2 linked regions of the Mytilus edulis genome follow. The protein of the gene in region 1 purifies or fractionates together with the protein of each later gene. This does not show direct contact. Links are inferred from orthologs where the notes say so. Each region holds a gene or a part of one and is shown in the gene's direction. Other genes may lie near its edges.

Evidence for each region. Proteins that work in one complex are often made in the same cells at the same time.
Region 2: the proteins of tRNA-splicing endonuclease subunit Sen2-like (region 1) and polyribonucleotide 5'-hydroxyl-kinase Clp1-like purify together in Homo sapiens (affinity purification with mass spectrometry; 3 studies listed by BioGRID and IntAct, counting the BioPlex papers as one, with this or other methods). This does not show direct contact. The link is inferred for Mytilus edulis from reciprocal best matches to the Homo sapiens genes TSEN2 and CLP1.

What each region holds. Positions count from the first base shown.
Region 1 is NC_092355.1:3,469,580-3,478,617, reverse strand, and holds the start of tRNA-splicing endonuclease subunit Sen2-like, read left to right. Parts: upstream 1-5,209; 5' UTR 5,210-5,312; intron 5,313-6,558; exon of another isoform or gene 6,559-6,644; 5' UTR 6,645-6,670; coding exon 6,671-6,856; intron 6,857-9,038. Other genes in the region: protein smoothened-like, read right to left, coding at 347-769.
Region 2 is NC_092345.1:102,189,937-102,197,990, forward strand, and holds the start of polyribonucleotide 5'-hydroxyl-kinase Clp1-like, read left to right. Parts: upstream 1-4,342; 5' UTR 4,343-4,469; coding exon 4,470-4,490; intron 4,491-8,054. UniProt on the Homo sapiens protein: Polynucleotide kinase that can phosphorylate the 5'-hydroxyl groups of double-stranded RNA (dsRNA), single-stranded RNA (ssRNA), double-stranded DNA (dsDNA) and double-stranded DNA:RNA hybrids. dsRNA is phosphorylated more efficiently than dsDNA, and the RNA component of a DNA:RNA hybrid is phosphorylated more efficiently than the DNA component.

The sequences.
Region 1 (9,038 bases):
TTATAAATTCATTATAAAATATATAGCACTCTTTGGCTAAATCATGATATGCATGATAAAATCTTAAAAACTTAGATTTCTGCACATATATACATTAACAAATATCATTTTGCAAACTGTAAATTCAGAAATCATTGCGAGGTTTTTATTAATGCGAATATTGCGAATGGTGATGTATCACAAATAATAAGAACTCCCATTTTGTTGCCTGATACATATATCTGTATGAAGATGTTTCGAAAAATCGCAATATTTGATCTCGCATTTTTGTCCATTCTATAAAGACGGCAATAATAAATTCACACAATAATTTCTGAATTTTACAGTATGTAACATATAAACTTACTGGACAGCCCGTCTCAAAATGGCTTTCATCACAGTCTAAGAAATCAGGCCAGGCTCCATGGTAAATCTCAACAATTTTACATGGTGATTTTATCTTCTTACATAATTCTTTACTAGGCAACTCCACCTGCCCACCATCACATTTAGGCAAGTACACTGAACAAAGAAAGGGTTGCACCAATGACCAGCATTCGGGAACATATTTCAAACCCTCCCAGAGTTTTAATTTTTCGTTTACTGAACTTAATGTTGAAGAATCTATGAATTCCAGCGATGTATTAGTGAAGGTCAAGGTAACACCAAGACATGTGGTTGTAGTTCCGAGTGACTGGCACGTTGCATTTTTGTAACAAGTCTGACTGGATGAAATATCTACTATCAAAAGTAATAATGCTGCCTCTCTTAACACCATTTTGGAAAACATTGAAGTGAAAATTCAAAGACACAACAATATGAAACCAAAACATTTAAGCTTTATCATGTTTAAAAGAATCACTTTAACTAAAAGGTGTCAAAACACTGTTAATTGTTTTAAAACTGGCTTTTCATAGAATGTATCTAGAGGTTTATTTGAGTATCCAAGTATATTAATGTTTGTGCCACGTTTCCATACTAACAAGAATATCATTGGTTCCAGTTAATGATGTGTTCATATAAAGGATCATGGAACAGTTATTGAACTTTTCCATATTATTTTACAAAATTGTTATTGTAGTTCTTCATCTAAACGCTGTGACAACTAAATGCAATGTGAACTTTTAACCCAACATCTTCTCTGTACATGTACCATGTATGTTTGAAACACGTTGGGATGAAACAGGCACCATTCGTTCTCCCATCCTCCAGAAATTCTCTAACCTGTAATTGAAATTATTGTATTATTATAAGGTAAATGGAAGATCTAAATTCTATAGGTAACAAATATTTACAATGTACCACATTTATATCTCGAATCCAGATGTCGACTTTCTCTTATGAATTGTCTCACATTTTGACATACCAGGGTCTTTAACAGCTTACTACATAAAATGGGTTCCATTGTTTTGCTCAGTGTTGAAGGCTGTTTTGTGATAAGTTATTCTCATTCTTTGGTCTCTTGTTGATAGTTGACCCATTGGTTGCAATCATAAAACATCTCCTTATTTATACATTAAGTGTATCAAATTGGATGCAGATGTCTATCCTTTATTCTATTAAATTAAGCTTAAAAATACAGAACAAAAATTTAAACTGTGACAAATGATAATAATTTAATTTTGGATGTAAAGCTTCTTCTGATTGGCTGACGTTATTTTGTTCTCAGCCCATAGACATAATTTAGTCATGTGATTGTGACGTTTTTTCATGGTTTTTTACGGTTTAAAATGGAATTTAGAATTAAATTATAAGAAATGATATTTTTTTGGTCTATTCGAAATAGACTCAAAAACAATAAAATGAAGTTAAAATATAAATTGGAAATTCAAAGTAAAATTTTTAGTTTGTAATATATTAAATGCAGCTCTGATCAATTGAAGTCAATGTTACAGATGATCATGAGATAAAATTAAGTTACTACAACATCTAAGGGTAAAATCTTTAATTGTATCATTTTTTTCTTATAAATTTCTTACCTTTAATTTTAAAATATAAAGAAATCGAATTTCATCCACAGAAAAATCATGTGATACGCTTCTTAAACAAGTATATTTGTACAATGTAACTGTGCTATCATTTTAAATTACAAAGCAAATAAATTCTGGTTAATCTTCAGTAAGTTTAATTCAAATGTATCTGTTGGATTTGTAGCAATAAAGAGAGGAACATATTCAAACAACTTTAAATGCTATAACACCCACTAAAATATCAAATTTCAAAAACGTAAAAAATATTCAAAGAGGCCAAAAAATTGACAAGTCGTTCATCCAAAAACAGGCTTTAATCAACTATCATGTCTATAATGCAAAATATGACAGATTTTATGAATGAAATTCTCTTTAAACTTTGACCTTTAAATATGACACTTAAATAGATATAATTACTTATTGACTAATTGCCAAATACTGGATGCCTCTACGTTATGACCTTTTGAGCACTTAAAAAAAATTGTCATCAGGACATCAATTCAAATTGTTTCAATTGTTATAAAGAATAGAGATATAACCATGATAACTGAGAATTTCAAGTCTTCAAACTGACTAAATTAGAAATGAAAACACACATACATTAATAAGCTGATGCTGCAAATCATTGATACCTGTTCATTGCTGTTCACGACTTCTGTCTTTGACAGTGAAAAAAATATTCAACCAATTTTTAAGTCCTACACAATTACCAAAATAACAAGAAAACAAATTACATGTATGAATCCAAAGGACAGCTTGTGATCATTCTTCACTAACAAGACTAAGGGGAGCCAGACTTACCATTGGAATATTTATTATGAATTAATGAAATGAAACATTGAACTCTTATAAAAAAATTATGACCTAACTTGAGAAAAATTGTTTAACGCATGTTCTTACACCTCAAAACTTACACAAGTAAATTTTTGAGAAAATTAAGGGGAGATAATTCAAACATTATAATTAACTTATATCAGTTTATAAATTATTATTTATTTCTACTTCTTCAAGTAAATACAGATTACTTGTACAAGTAGTACCCCTGACTGACTATTAGTTTCCTACAAAAAAATCTAGATATACACTGAACTCCATAAACTTTGACAAATCTCAATTCTCAGATATATTTTTTTGTAATATAAAATCGAAGATCCTGGAAATTTGGGTTCAAATGTTTTTTAAGAGTTTGGTTTGTAAATTTAGTTTAGAATATCCCTAAGTGAAACCATTTGAAAAAAGAAGTAGGTTATCATGGTTATTGTCCTCACTAATGGAACCCTAACTTATTTTATCACTACTTTTGGATATTTCTAAAAATACAAGAACACAATACATGTAGGTATAGAATTTTTAAATATTCCAATTTTTCTGTAATCATTCACTGATGATTATTACATTGCAAAATTAAGAACAAAATTTCTATTAATTTCTAAAAATAATAATATTATGACATCGTAAGAGGGCAATAATAATATTACGACATCGTAAGAGGGCCACACAGCAAAATTAAAATTATGTCAAATCTAATTATCAACCTTTGGTATATATATTTATTAATCATATTTATTGATTGATGTTTAACACCACTTTAAGTGCTATTACGCTTAGTCCAAATAAATATGATGCCTTGAAATGCTATTTTATTCTTTTGTTTTGATGTCCATACATCTACATTTATACTATTGATCTGCAGTGTAAATCCATACTGCTGTGCTCTGCAGCGGAAATCCATACTGCTGTGCTCTGCAGTGGAAATCCATACTGCTGTGCTCTACAGTGGAAATCCATACTGCTGTGCTCTGCAGTGGAAATCCATACTGCTGTGCTCTGCAGCGAGGATTAATAGCAAAAAAAAAGAAGTTTATAATTAGTCATTAACCAGTCAAGGGTCTAACTTAAATAAGTTATCAGAGAAAAATAACATGCATGTGTTATTACAGACACTTTCATGAGTTGTCTACTCTTTTTTCCTTAATCTGTAATAACATAATTATGTTTGTTATCAGTTAAATATATCATAAATATTTTATCTTTAATGGGCACTTGGGAATTCTTTAAACTTTGCGCAGTAGTTTAATATATTTCCTTGATAACTAATTTTTAATTCCATTAATACAATTTTGATCAACCATGGTAAATCAATGAGACAAGGCTTTTAAGGGAAAACTAAACTGTAATAACAAGGCTTAGTTATTACAAGCATAAAACTTACAACATTGTATATGAGAGTAAATGAGACACTTGGAATCTTGCACAGTGCCTCATTACAAGCTCTATCATCATTTCTTACAATAAATTGAAATACATTGTTATGCAAGACTGTAAAGAGATATAGACATGATAGAGAAGCTGTAATAACACCCTTTGGTTATTGCAGGAATATATTTTCTGTAATAACATAGGTGTACTATGCATGATTTCTAAACTATGAGCTGTTATATCTTTGCAAAGGTTAGTATACTTAAAGAAAATTATAATATCAATAGAGCTGGAGAAAAATTTAACAAAAGAAAGGTTAACGTTGTATATTTCCCCTTTGAAACATGTAACATACATATGTTATCACAGTTTTTTGATATTTTAGCTCACAATAACAACATGTATGTTATTTTTCTCTAATAACTTATTTAAGTTAGACCCTTGACTGTTAATATAACTATATTGTGCTATTTCATGGGGTCAGTTTTTATCCTTGGAGAAAACCAGGGTGCAGAGAGTCATTGTATTATGAACATTCGTAGGTAAAATTACTAACCCTGTTTTAGAGCCAAACTCACAACCTCAATATTGACAGACTAGTGATACAGTAGACTATACATAGAGACTAAGAAGAGTATACCCTTATTTTCTATTTTTTAATTTTTTTAATTGAATAACTTCACATGCATGACATGTGATAACACCCTATTAATATAAAGAAATGTCAGTTTCTTTTGTGTTTTTAAATGTCTCTTTTCAACTGATATTTGCATCAAGCAATACACAATAGTAGTCATAGCTTCTAGATTTTTGAAGTTGTGTGAAAATCAACAAAGACCAAGGTGAGGTCAACCATACATTTTTGGTCAGTTTCTCTACTTTGTACTCGCTTTCAAATCAAACTACCCGCCATTTACTAACATAAGATAATATTGATTGTAATCGATAATCTGTTAAACACTTTGACTATGTAAATAAGTCAATAAAATGTTGATAAGTAGCCAACAACCTGTGTTCTTACCTGACCTAAATTAATCCATTGATCACGTGACAATGCTGACATCCGTTCTCAATATTAACCTCTACATGTGCAATGAGAAATATTGGTTTGATAAACATATGGCTAAAGAAAGCGTTCTAAATCAAAACAAGGAGATTAATTAAGTAATAGAGACAAACTTTTCAATATAATTATGATTTTTGATACATTTAACAAACAAATAGTGTTTAATAATAAAAGGGGGAAGGGCTATGTACATATTAAACAGGTCAGGAATAAACACCAATTGGTGGATTATACCTCAATTGACGTATAATCCACCAATTGAGGTATATTGGTATAGACCAATTGATGTATAATGCAAGTTTTTTTTGTAATTAAATGCTAGTGTGAGATAGGAGCATGATTTTGCAACTTGCAACCTATTTCATAACCCTTATTGAGTCCTCCGAAATTTCAGTTTTGTCAAAGCCTGCTGCATCTCTTGAGAATGCATGTGTACAACAATTCTTTTGTTGAAACATTTGTACTATTGACCATGATTGACTTTTGATAATGAAGGTCAACTATTAACAAAGAGCACCATTCACCTGTGGAGTTGTACACATGATCACATGACTGCAGACAGTAATGATGTCCATTGACAGGTGATTACAGGTAAATTTGCCAATCAGGAATTGACAAGATAACAATAGAAGAAACTTCAAATACAATTATCGATTAGATGCAATATGTTATGTCACTATACTAAACTAGGAATGTTTGACAAGTTTTCATACCATAAAATGGTTTTAAGAAAACAATGCTCCATTTGGGTGGAATAATTTGTTTTGAAAAACAAAGAATTATACACCAATTGGTCTATACCATTATATGTCAATTGGTGGATTATACGTCAATTGAGGTATAATCCACCAATTGGTGGTTATTCCTGACCTGTTAAAAAAAAGAGAAGAAAAGCCAAGTACAGAAAAAAATTAAAAGAAAATCTACAATGTTACATGATGACATGCTCTTCATGAGTTTACCACCTAAACACGTCAGGTGTACTTTATATAGTATCTTTTGTTATTCGGATGTACAAGTAGTTGAAGTACCAATTAGACTATGTTGACTTTGTTTTTGTAATATGTATTTCTATTTGTATCTAAATGGTAAGTTAAGCCTTTTCAACTGATTTTATAGTTTGTTCTTATGTTGTACTGTTACACCACTGTTCTGGGTAAGGAGAAGGTTGGGATCCAGCTAACATGTTTAATAAGGCTGTTAGTTTGAATTGTTTGAATTGTTTTACATTGTCATTTTGGGGCCTTTTATAGCTGACATCCATGGGATATGGGCTTTGCTCATTGTTGAAGGCCATACAGTGACCTATAGTTGTTAATTTCTGTGTCATTTTGGTCTCTTGTGGAGAGTTGTCTCATTGGCAATCATACCACATGATAAAAAGACAAACAATAATTTTCCAAGCATAGTAACTATTGCTTTCTATTCAGGTAAAAAAAAGTTTCTATTTGTTGGTATGGCATTCTCCAAGCTGGTTAATCCAAAAAAGAAGAAAAGAGTACATGCAGCCAAAGAGTCACCATTTCCAGTTCCCATAGCAACAGAACAGTATGAGAACACATGGTTCTACTACACAGGCTATCTCCATGATAACCACATAGAAATCAAACATAGTGGAGATATTGACAGACTGTACAAAATGGTGAGATCCTAAGTAAAAGTTTTACACTTATTGTGTGTTCAAGTTGCATTTATATATTGTGCAAGATTTGTTCCATGAAAGGTCCTTGAAGGACCTTTATATTCAAATAAGGAGATGTGGTATGGTTGCCAATATGACAACTATCCACCTGAGTGTATTTGAAGTAGATATACTTTTATCATAGGTTTAGTAGTAAATACAGTAGTTTTGAATATTTGATAAATAGCTTGCTGTTTAATCCATATCGCGCAACTTTGATTTGCAACCTTTATGGCATACCCTTTATCACACCCCTACCCTTTATCGCATACCCTTTATCACACCTTTACCCTTTATCACACCCCTACTTTTTTTTTTTACATGAAGTCACTTTTTATAATGTAAACTTAAGAAATATTTTTCCCTTGGGCTGATATTGGTGTCTCGGGATGATACAACATATGATACGGATTTTGCCATGTATTATTCTCTATTAATTGGCCACTGTACAGACATCAACAGAGAAAAAAACCCATACCCATTACCCAAATGATGGCTGCTCAAGGGTTTCGATATGAAAAATGTGTATCAATACAAATAAATGAGAAAACTATTTATAAGTACAAAAACAATGTACATATAAAAAAGAAGATGTGGTATGATTGCCAATGAGACAGCTATCCACAAAAGACCAAAATGACACAGACATTAACAACTATAGGTCTCCGTACGGCCTTCAACAATGAGCAAAGCCCATACTGCATAGTCAGTTATAAAAGGCCCCGATAAGACAATGTAAAACAATTCAAACGAGAAAACTAATGGCCTTATTTATGTAAAATTTATATACATGTACATTTACATATAACACTTGTATTAATAATAATTGTTTATGGCATAAAGTTGTTATACAGCATACCTTAAAAATCAGCTTCACTATTTTTTTTTTTTTTCCCCAAGTAATTAAGGTTAACTATTCAAAGGAATTTATAGATGTTCCTTGTTAACTTGACCAACTGACTCACAAACTGTTTTAATACTGTAAACAGTCGGACAACTAAAATAATTTAAATATCTTAAATTTGGCTTTGAAGAACTTTTCATAATCTTCAAAGATTAAAACACTCTCTACCTAATTTGGTTACTAATTGATTTATTGCATAATTAATGTATTTTTATGCCCCACCTACGATCCACCTACGATAGTAGAGGGGCATTATGTTTTCTGGTCTGTGCGTCCGTTCGTCCGTCCGTTCGTTCGTCCGTCTGTTCGTTCGTCCGTCTGTCCCGCTTCAGGTTAAAGTTTTTGGTCAAGGTAGTTTTTGATGAAGTTGAAGTCCAATCAACTTGAAACTTAGTACACATGTTCCTTATGATATGATCTTTCTAATTTTAAAGCCAAATTAAACTTTTGACCCCAATTTCACGGTCCACTGAACATAGAAAATGAAAGTGCATGTTTCAGGTTCAAGTTTTTGGTCAAGGTAGTTATGTTTCAGGTTAAAGTTTTTGGTCAAGGTAGTTTTTGATGAAGTTGAAGTCCAGTCAACTTGAAACTTAGTACACATGTTCCTTATGATATGATCTTTCTAATTTTAAAGCCAAATTAAACTTTTGACCCCAATTTCACGGTCCACTGAACATAGAAAATGAAAGTGCATGTTTCAGGTTCAAGTTTTTGGTCAAGGTAGTTATGTTTCAGGTTAAAGTTTTTGGTCAAGGTAGTTTTTGATGAAGTTGAAGTCCAATCAACTTGAAACTTAGTACACATGTTTCTTATGATATGGTCTTTCTAATTTTAAAGCCAAATTAAACTTTTGACCCCAATTTCACGGTCCATTGAACATAGAAAATGAAAGTGCATGTTTCAGGTTTAAGTTTTTGGTCAAGATAGTTTTTGATGAAGTTGAAGTCCAATCAACTTGAAACTTAGTACACATATTCCTTATGATATGATCTTTCTAATTTTAAAGCCAAATTAAACTTTTGACCCCAATTTCACGGTCAACTGAACATAGAAAATGAAAGTGCATGTTTCAGGTTAAAGTTTTTGGTCAAGGTAGTTTTTGATGAAGTTGGGAGTCCAATCAACTTGAAACTTAGTACACATGTTCCTTATGATATGATCTTTCTAATTTTAAAGCCAAATTAAACTTTTGACCCCAATTTCACGGTCCACTGAACATAGAAAATGAAAGTGCAT
Region 2 (8,054 bases), on another chromosome or scaffold:
AGTTGGTGATAGTTCTTTTTTTAACAATTCTTCAGACTTGTTTATACACTCAAAACATTATTTATAAAGAGGCCTTATTAGTAAAATTAAACATCCAGATCTATTTCATAAATTTTTATTTCAGTGAGAAAAAGCTTATTTTAAATAGCTACTGATATGTTGTTTGTCCTCTGTCACATATAATCTTCACAGAATTACTGTATTTAAATTGGATCAAAATTTGAAACCGAAAATTCTGCAACACACATAATTCAGGAATTAACTATATCAATATATTTTTGGGCAGCACTTCAGAAATCAAAGAGCTGAATAGCTCTGAGGGGAAAGATGGCCCTTGTCTCTTCTTTTTTTTTTTGGGGGGGGGTATCTTTTGATAGTCTTCATATATAAAGAATGAAAAAAGAGAACAGCTAGAACATGTAGAAAGGTTGACAATATTGAAGTCAATTGTTGTTTAATTTAATTTTGTTTCCTTAGTATGATTCAATTTGGACCAAGAGATCTGCATCTTCTAAATCTAAACATTCGATTAAAGTTGATAGTTAATTATGTAAAATTCAACTGATTTCTGTCATTTAACAACAACTACAATGTTTTCTGAAATCTTAATTGTGTACCACTGAACTGAATTTTCCATTTTTTGTGACAGTACTCTAAGATTTTTAATTTTTTTCTTAAGAAAGTTAGGACTGAAAAATCTATTTAATTTCAAATTTCCATTGATAAAGTTCCCAGTTACAACTCTCATCACAGGGGTACAGGTACTAATAAAAAATAATATGATTGATGTAAAATGTGTGAAGCTTGTTTCCAGATCCTACATTTTGAAATATTTGTAAATTTCATGAATAAATTATTATAGGTTTAAACTATAAAATGCAACTTTTTAAAAGAAACATTTTTTACCATTACAATGATTTATTTGTTGGTACACACAATTTAGTTTTAATGGAAGACTACTAATCATATACTAAATGTCACATTTTCAAGTTTTATTTTAGTGGATAATTACTCATCAATTGAGGTGCTCCTGATTTGGAGGAAGATTCACAGAACAGAATTTTACAGAAAAAATGAAAAAAATTGTTTCTCTCCCCGATCTCATGTACATGTATCTCCACGACCCTTGTTTACTCTGAAAGTTGTTGACCTACAAATTAAAGTATTGCATGTTGATGTTTGAATCATCTACAGCAAACATAATTATGTTTAAATTTAACAAATAATTTACAATTAGTGCACGAACTCTGAGAATGATTTAAATAACCAGTGAAGAATATCCCTGCTTCTTCATAGTGTGGCATTCCAACAATGACGTCATTATAAAATATAATGTAGGTTGGATATATTTAGAATATCTCGTCACTGATTTTTCCGGATTGTAAAAGAAACGTAAATAGTGTAAAAGAGAGCTCAAAATACGATAATTTCGCTAGAAACAGAAGGGAAATATGTAGAAAAGTATTTAAAGTCAATCTTTTCATTTGTGTGTTTCCTTCTCATCAAGCTCAGTAAGATTTTTTGGGGGTAATCACACTATAAAAACAAAATGAATGATGTGAGGGAATGTCACTCTGGTCAACCCCATATGGGATTGACGGCTTGAAGCCGTCTTTCCCCCAAAAACAAGCATATTGTGAGTATTGCATGGTATTAAATAGTCCCAATCTGGTTAAAAAATTTATAAGGGTTCCGCGGAACCCATTGTCCTGTCTACTTTTGCTGTTAATCACACACTCAACAAAAATGAAGAAAAAAATCAACAAAATTATTCCTCTCGATACTATCTTTTGATTGTCAGAAGCTTCTGTTCAAGTTCGGTAAAATTCCAGGCTAGTTTAAGAAACTTAAAAATGTTTTAACAACTTTAACTGCAGACTGTATGTAATGTTAACTAGAAGAAAAACAAGCTTCTGGCCAAGTTTCGTACAATTCCAGGATAGTTTAAGAAAGTTATTAAAATTTTAAAAACTTTAACCACAGATTGCATGTACATGTAATGGTTCCGAGCAGAAAAACTAAGTCCATTTATAAGTAAAAAAATGTAAAATATGGAAAAAATGGAATTTTATTTTTACAAAATTTACTCCTGGATACTATCTTATGAACATAAACAAGCTTCTGTCCAAGTTTGGTAGAAATCTACAATGTAGGATATTTCAAGAAAGTTATTAAAATTTCAAAAACTTTAACCACAGAGTGAATATTTGTGGACGCCGTCGATGACACCGATGGAATGTAGGATCGCTGTCTCGCTTTTTCTTCTAAAGTCGAAGGCTCGACAAAAATCATTGTAACGGAACAAATTCTAACTTGATCTTGTCATTGTGTGAACGATTACTCACATTACGAATTTACGATCAGGTTAATTTGCTCTTTCTGCTACATTGTAGCTCTCCATTGTAAATACAAATTAATGTACCTCATAAAAGAGACAACTAAAAAAAGCGATCTATAATAACAGGGTCAATTATGGGAATTAGTTAGACATGGAAAATAAGCTACACATGGGTCAACGTAATTTCAAATTATATGGGGACAAAGTCCCCAATAACAGTAGAAAATTCAATAAAAAAAAAAAACGGAAAAATTTTCCCGATATTTTCATTGTACTAATGAACTCAAAATAGTTCAATTTTTTTTATGTCATGTTTTGAATTCCTGCATCTGCGCAGAAATCTACAATGTTCTTCCTTTTTCCGGTCTTGTTTGCATGAAATTTTGAGTAAAATATATATATTTATCAGTTTAGTATAAAATAGGAAGGAACGCAATATCAATTTCATTTTTTTAATAATTCCTTGATATGAAAAAACGTTACCTAATGATAGCGTTTCTTTGTTAAAATTGCATATGACGTCATAACTTAAATAACGGCACAACTAAAATCCCTAACAAGAGAACCAAAATCGGAAACATTACGGTATTTCCGTTTCGAAATTAAGATATGTTTGAATTAAAATAAAATCATAGACTTCGTTCCCTTTCACAGGTAATGCCTGCCTCATATTATACATTTTACAGACTTAAGAGGTATTGAGTGAAATTAAAGTATACGGTGCAGTCCGGTGTATCCGCTCACCTAAGACTTATGACTTCACTTCATTCAACTGATAAAACCAATAAATGAATAATATTATGTGAACACATTCATAACATACTTTTATTTCATAAAATCTTCTGTTTGTATGGTTTCACCCTCAAGATTTTGTGTAATATGTGTCCAAAATTAGGGAAACCCTGTTCTGAGAGTTCCTCCAATGTCCGGTGATTTCGCGCATGCCTTCCAAAAATAGCTTATTTTAAAAAAAGAAAAGATTTTATACTACGAAATATAGCTGAGTTTGAACCAAAAACACTGCCAAGGATGCAGAGCAAAAATCATTTCAATCTGATATAAGTTTGACTTAAATAAAACAAATTTTATCTGATGATGTATTTTTTTTTAACGGAAATTGGCCAAATATGGCAAATTACGGGATTGCAGTTATTAATTAACTCTTGAACTTATCAATTTTATTCTTTTTTATCCCTTCAGATGGCTAAAACAATAACAAGAACGATTGTGTTTGTGATACTGTGTTGATATGACAAAATAAGCTAATGCGCGATATCACGGGCCGCGCAGACACCGGGGACTACTCCACTGTATATTCATCATTAAACACCATTTCAAAATGTTCAATGCATTTCAATAATTATATAAGTTGGTACAAGTTTACAATGGTATGAATTTACAGTGGTACAAGTTAGCAGTGGTACAAGTTTGCATTAGTACAAGTTTTTTTTAGTGGTATGAGTTGACATTGGTACAAGTTTATAATGGTACAGGTAACTATAATTTTGTCTCATATACATGTACATCATAAAGAATACATTGTACAATATTCAATATTTATCAGGTAAAAATACTATAGCCACTATATACAAATAAGATTCTTTAGTCTGTCTATAATCATTTATAATTTCTGAAATTCTGTGCAAAAAAACATCTTTTCTATTTCATTTTTTTTCGTTCATAGCTTTCGATAAATATACATGCTTGCCTTTTTCTCTAGTTAATTCTACTCAATACTAATCAACTTACCAATCTTTGTTTTGTTCTTTTGGAACAGAATAGAAAAGAATAGAACAGAAAGTAGGCCAATATTATTTCCAAACAAGAAGCTTATCCGTCTCTGTAAAGTGTATTCCGTATAAAACGCATGAATGATTTTGACTATATTTAGAGAGTATATATGAATTGAAAGGTTAAACATTGATAATTAATGATAGAAATTATGTATCAATTAAATTTTATTTAATATTAAGTATAATTCAAATACAAAGAACTTAAATCAGAAATGCTGAACATAAAAAAATCAAATGTTTAAAGAGTAATTTTTAAAATGGCAGCCCCCATGAGAAACAAATTTTGTTGAAACATAATTTAGCAGAAGTTTTGCTGCTCATCGGCACAGGAATAAAACATGTCCGAAGAAAAGAAAGAGGTATTTAATATACACATATTTGTTTTAACGTTTTATGGCTTAAGATCACAAAGCTGATTTTGAATCCTTTGAACAAGGATTTGTATTTTTGGCAGGCCCTCCTACCGCTTCTATTGGAGTTATCAATACCAAAATTGAACCATCGATAGACCTCAACATGAACTTTTACCAGATGAACTTTTGTAGGATTTCACCCTCCCCTTGAGGAGTAATCTCCCATTTATTGATTTTTTTCAACATGGTCCCCCCAAAATTAGTTAAAAGGTATCATAACTTTAATTGGTCAATAGGTAGATCTCATCATGATGTATTACCATATGAGGCTGCATAAGATTTCATCATCCCCTTTGAGAGTTATATCCCCTTGAAACAATTTCTTTTATTTGCATTTTTCTCAAAAAGTATTAGAGATAGAATTGAATTGAAAATGACAGCATGTATAAGAACAGATGGAAATGTTTATAAACATAAACAATTAATTTGTTGCCATCCCTTATAAGGAGTTATTTCCCTTTAAAATTTAAAAATAATTTTTCAAAAATTCTATTTTGAGAACCGAAAGTCATAGAGACTTGGAACCTTCACCAATAATCTTAAATTCATATGACCTTTAATATGCATCCAAGGTCAAAGGTCACCGAGTGCAAAAAAAAAATTACGCTGCAATCTCAAGCTTACATATTAGAAAAACGATAAGACTTTACTGCATACATATAGCGTATAAAATGTTCTTCACAACGAGTTCTACATTTTATACAATAAGCCCAAAAATGTCCGACCGTCTGTTCAAAAGTTACAACGGGATGAGTCTTACAAGTATAGTATTGTGTGTATATCTTTTTAAAGGTAACAGATATCAACCTACTATCAACAGCAAAGATGATCAGTAATTCAAGGCCTTCAATTTGAGGTCAATGTCAGGTCATGATGAAATTTCACCTTGACCTTCATATTATACTATGACCTTGACCTTGTGATATTTGAAAGGTCAAGTGGTCTTGAGTTGAATGGTGATAGTCCCATGTCTCTACGACTTCCGGTTCTCAAGTTTGGTTTTGCATCATATATTTGATGATTAATTGTGACCTTGTTGAACTTTCAAATTGTTTCAATTCTTTTCCTATAATGTTGTCCTTCAACTGTAGATCATTTATCATTTAACAGATTTGAGATATCTATTGTCGTTTTTGAGATAATGCAGTTTGAAGTTTTGCGAGCGGAGGCATGTATTTCTGAATCAACCAGAGCTTAGCACTTAAAATGTTTTAGAAATTGAAGAGGTTGACATAGTTATATGTTTGACCAAATACGAAAAATATTCCATGGAAAAAAAACACCAAAAAATCAATTTGAAAATTTCAAGCTTTGCATTGACTTTGTAAGTTTCATAACTTCTATTTATATAGTTGATATTACATCATTATTTGCACTTTGTCATATGGGGTCATCTGATATATCATATTGAAGGTCTTAATAAACTCTACTTAAAAATGAAAATTTTAAACCCCTTTTTCATCCCAGGGGGACGGGTGGGGTCATTTAGTGCAAACATTCAAATTTCTCAGATGGTAAGGTTGTCGCATATCAAATGAAAGAATATAAAGCGTACATTTCAAATTTCAAATTGACGTCTCCCAAAAATGGGTTGGATGGGGTCATTGAGTGCAAAAAATAAATCTTCTTTTACGGTAAGGTTGTTGTATATCAAATGAAAGGTCATGATGTGTACATTTGAAATATCAAATTCCCAACCTCCAAAAATTAGTTGGGTAGGGTTATTAAGTGTAAAAATCAAACTTTTTAGAACATGGCGTTGTCGCATATCAAACGAAATCTCATCTACCCTGTGTTACATATATCATACTTCCGATCTCAAAAATGTAGGCTGATGAGGTCATTAAGTGTAAAAAGCGAAAAGTTTCAGAAGGTATGCTTGTCGTATATCAAACGAAAGGTCGTACAAAGAACATTAAGAAAACATTACTTTTACAGGAAAGACCTTTCAATTGTTTTACAAACAATTGAGATACTAGTTTATTTAGTTTCTCTGTAGTGCCACATCATAAATACAAATGTACTAATGATTTTAATACAATAGAGCCATAAAATTACCAGAGTGATCGAAATTACAGATAGAGATTATAGTGTCAAGTTGACACTTCTAAAGACTAAAGACTTAGTATGTACAGCCTCAACAGGAACATTTTTTCTCTGTTCGTTTAATTTTCTGTAGCCTAGAATTTTTGACAAAAATGTTACCTGACAAAGAGAACGAGTCTGTATATGTATGATCCTCAAATCTCAATCTTATGGCCTTATGGCACAACTCTTCTCATTGGTGCATATTACGCCCTATGTGTATCTTCCTCCATGTATTTTCCTCCATGTACTTTAATTTTGTTTTTGCTGTTACGATTGAGGTTGCGGATGTTCGGGTAAGTCGAAACGTCCTGTTTTTGAAAATAACAGTATGAGAAGCTGTTTTTATGTAACAATTAAATGATCGACATATATATGTTATATTTTGGGTATAAATTAGTTGAATTGTTTCTTCTGATTAAGTGTAGGACTCATTTTGAGTATATTCACACTGACACATACATGCCATACAGTCACCTCTATATAATGATATACAGTTAAAAAAACCAAGTATTTACAGTTAATAATCCAATAACTACAATTTATGAAAATGGTGAAGATAGCCAGTGCCTGTTTAAACCCATCAAGGGTTGGCAAACTGACTAGTGGCAGTCACAGTGAGGCTGGTGATCCTGATCCTACGGTCAATATTTAGCTTTGACACATCTGGTCTCTTTGTGCTTACTTGTAGTTTCTCTGGGTAATGTCACATTGTTTAATTTAGTTAAATTGTTTAGGCACTGTATCGGAATTCTTCAAGGCTTAGTGTTTCCTGGAATCCCCCTGAAATCTTTAAATATTCTCCTATCATATTCATTGTTATCTCGTATGTCTCTTTCTTTGTTGGTGCTAAAAGTTTGTGACTGGAGACCTATTGGGATGTTATGTACATACATGTACAAAATGTATCTCCGGCTGTCTTCTTCTCATTGAATTTCTCAGGACTTCTATGTGCAAATAGAATTTTTAATTGACTGTCCTTTTCAGATGTGACCATCATGTCTTTACTCATCATTTTAGTGTAATTTCATGGACAATGAAAATTTCCCTTGTCTATTATCTTCAGAACAGTTCTCATTTACAAGCCCAAAAAAACAGCGTTTTTGCATATGGGGTATATATCTCCCATCTCCCAATTGATACGATATTCCTGTGCTTGCATTTCCTATCATGATTTTCTTGATAGAGAGTTGCTGCTCACACGTATGCTATTAAACCAAGAGTTCCAAATGGTGAAGTTTAAATCATTCCTTCAATAATTTTATGGACGTGATGACGAGTTGGTTGACTGTTATTGAATAACCGTTTCACAAATGATATCGGATAATTATGTTCCTTACAAAGTAACTACAATCATCTTCCCTTTCATGAATGTGACCTACCGAATTAGACTATTTACCGGATTTGTTATCACATAAGCAACAC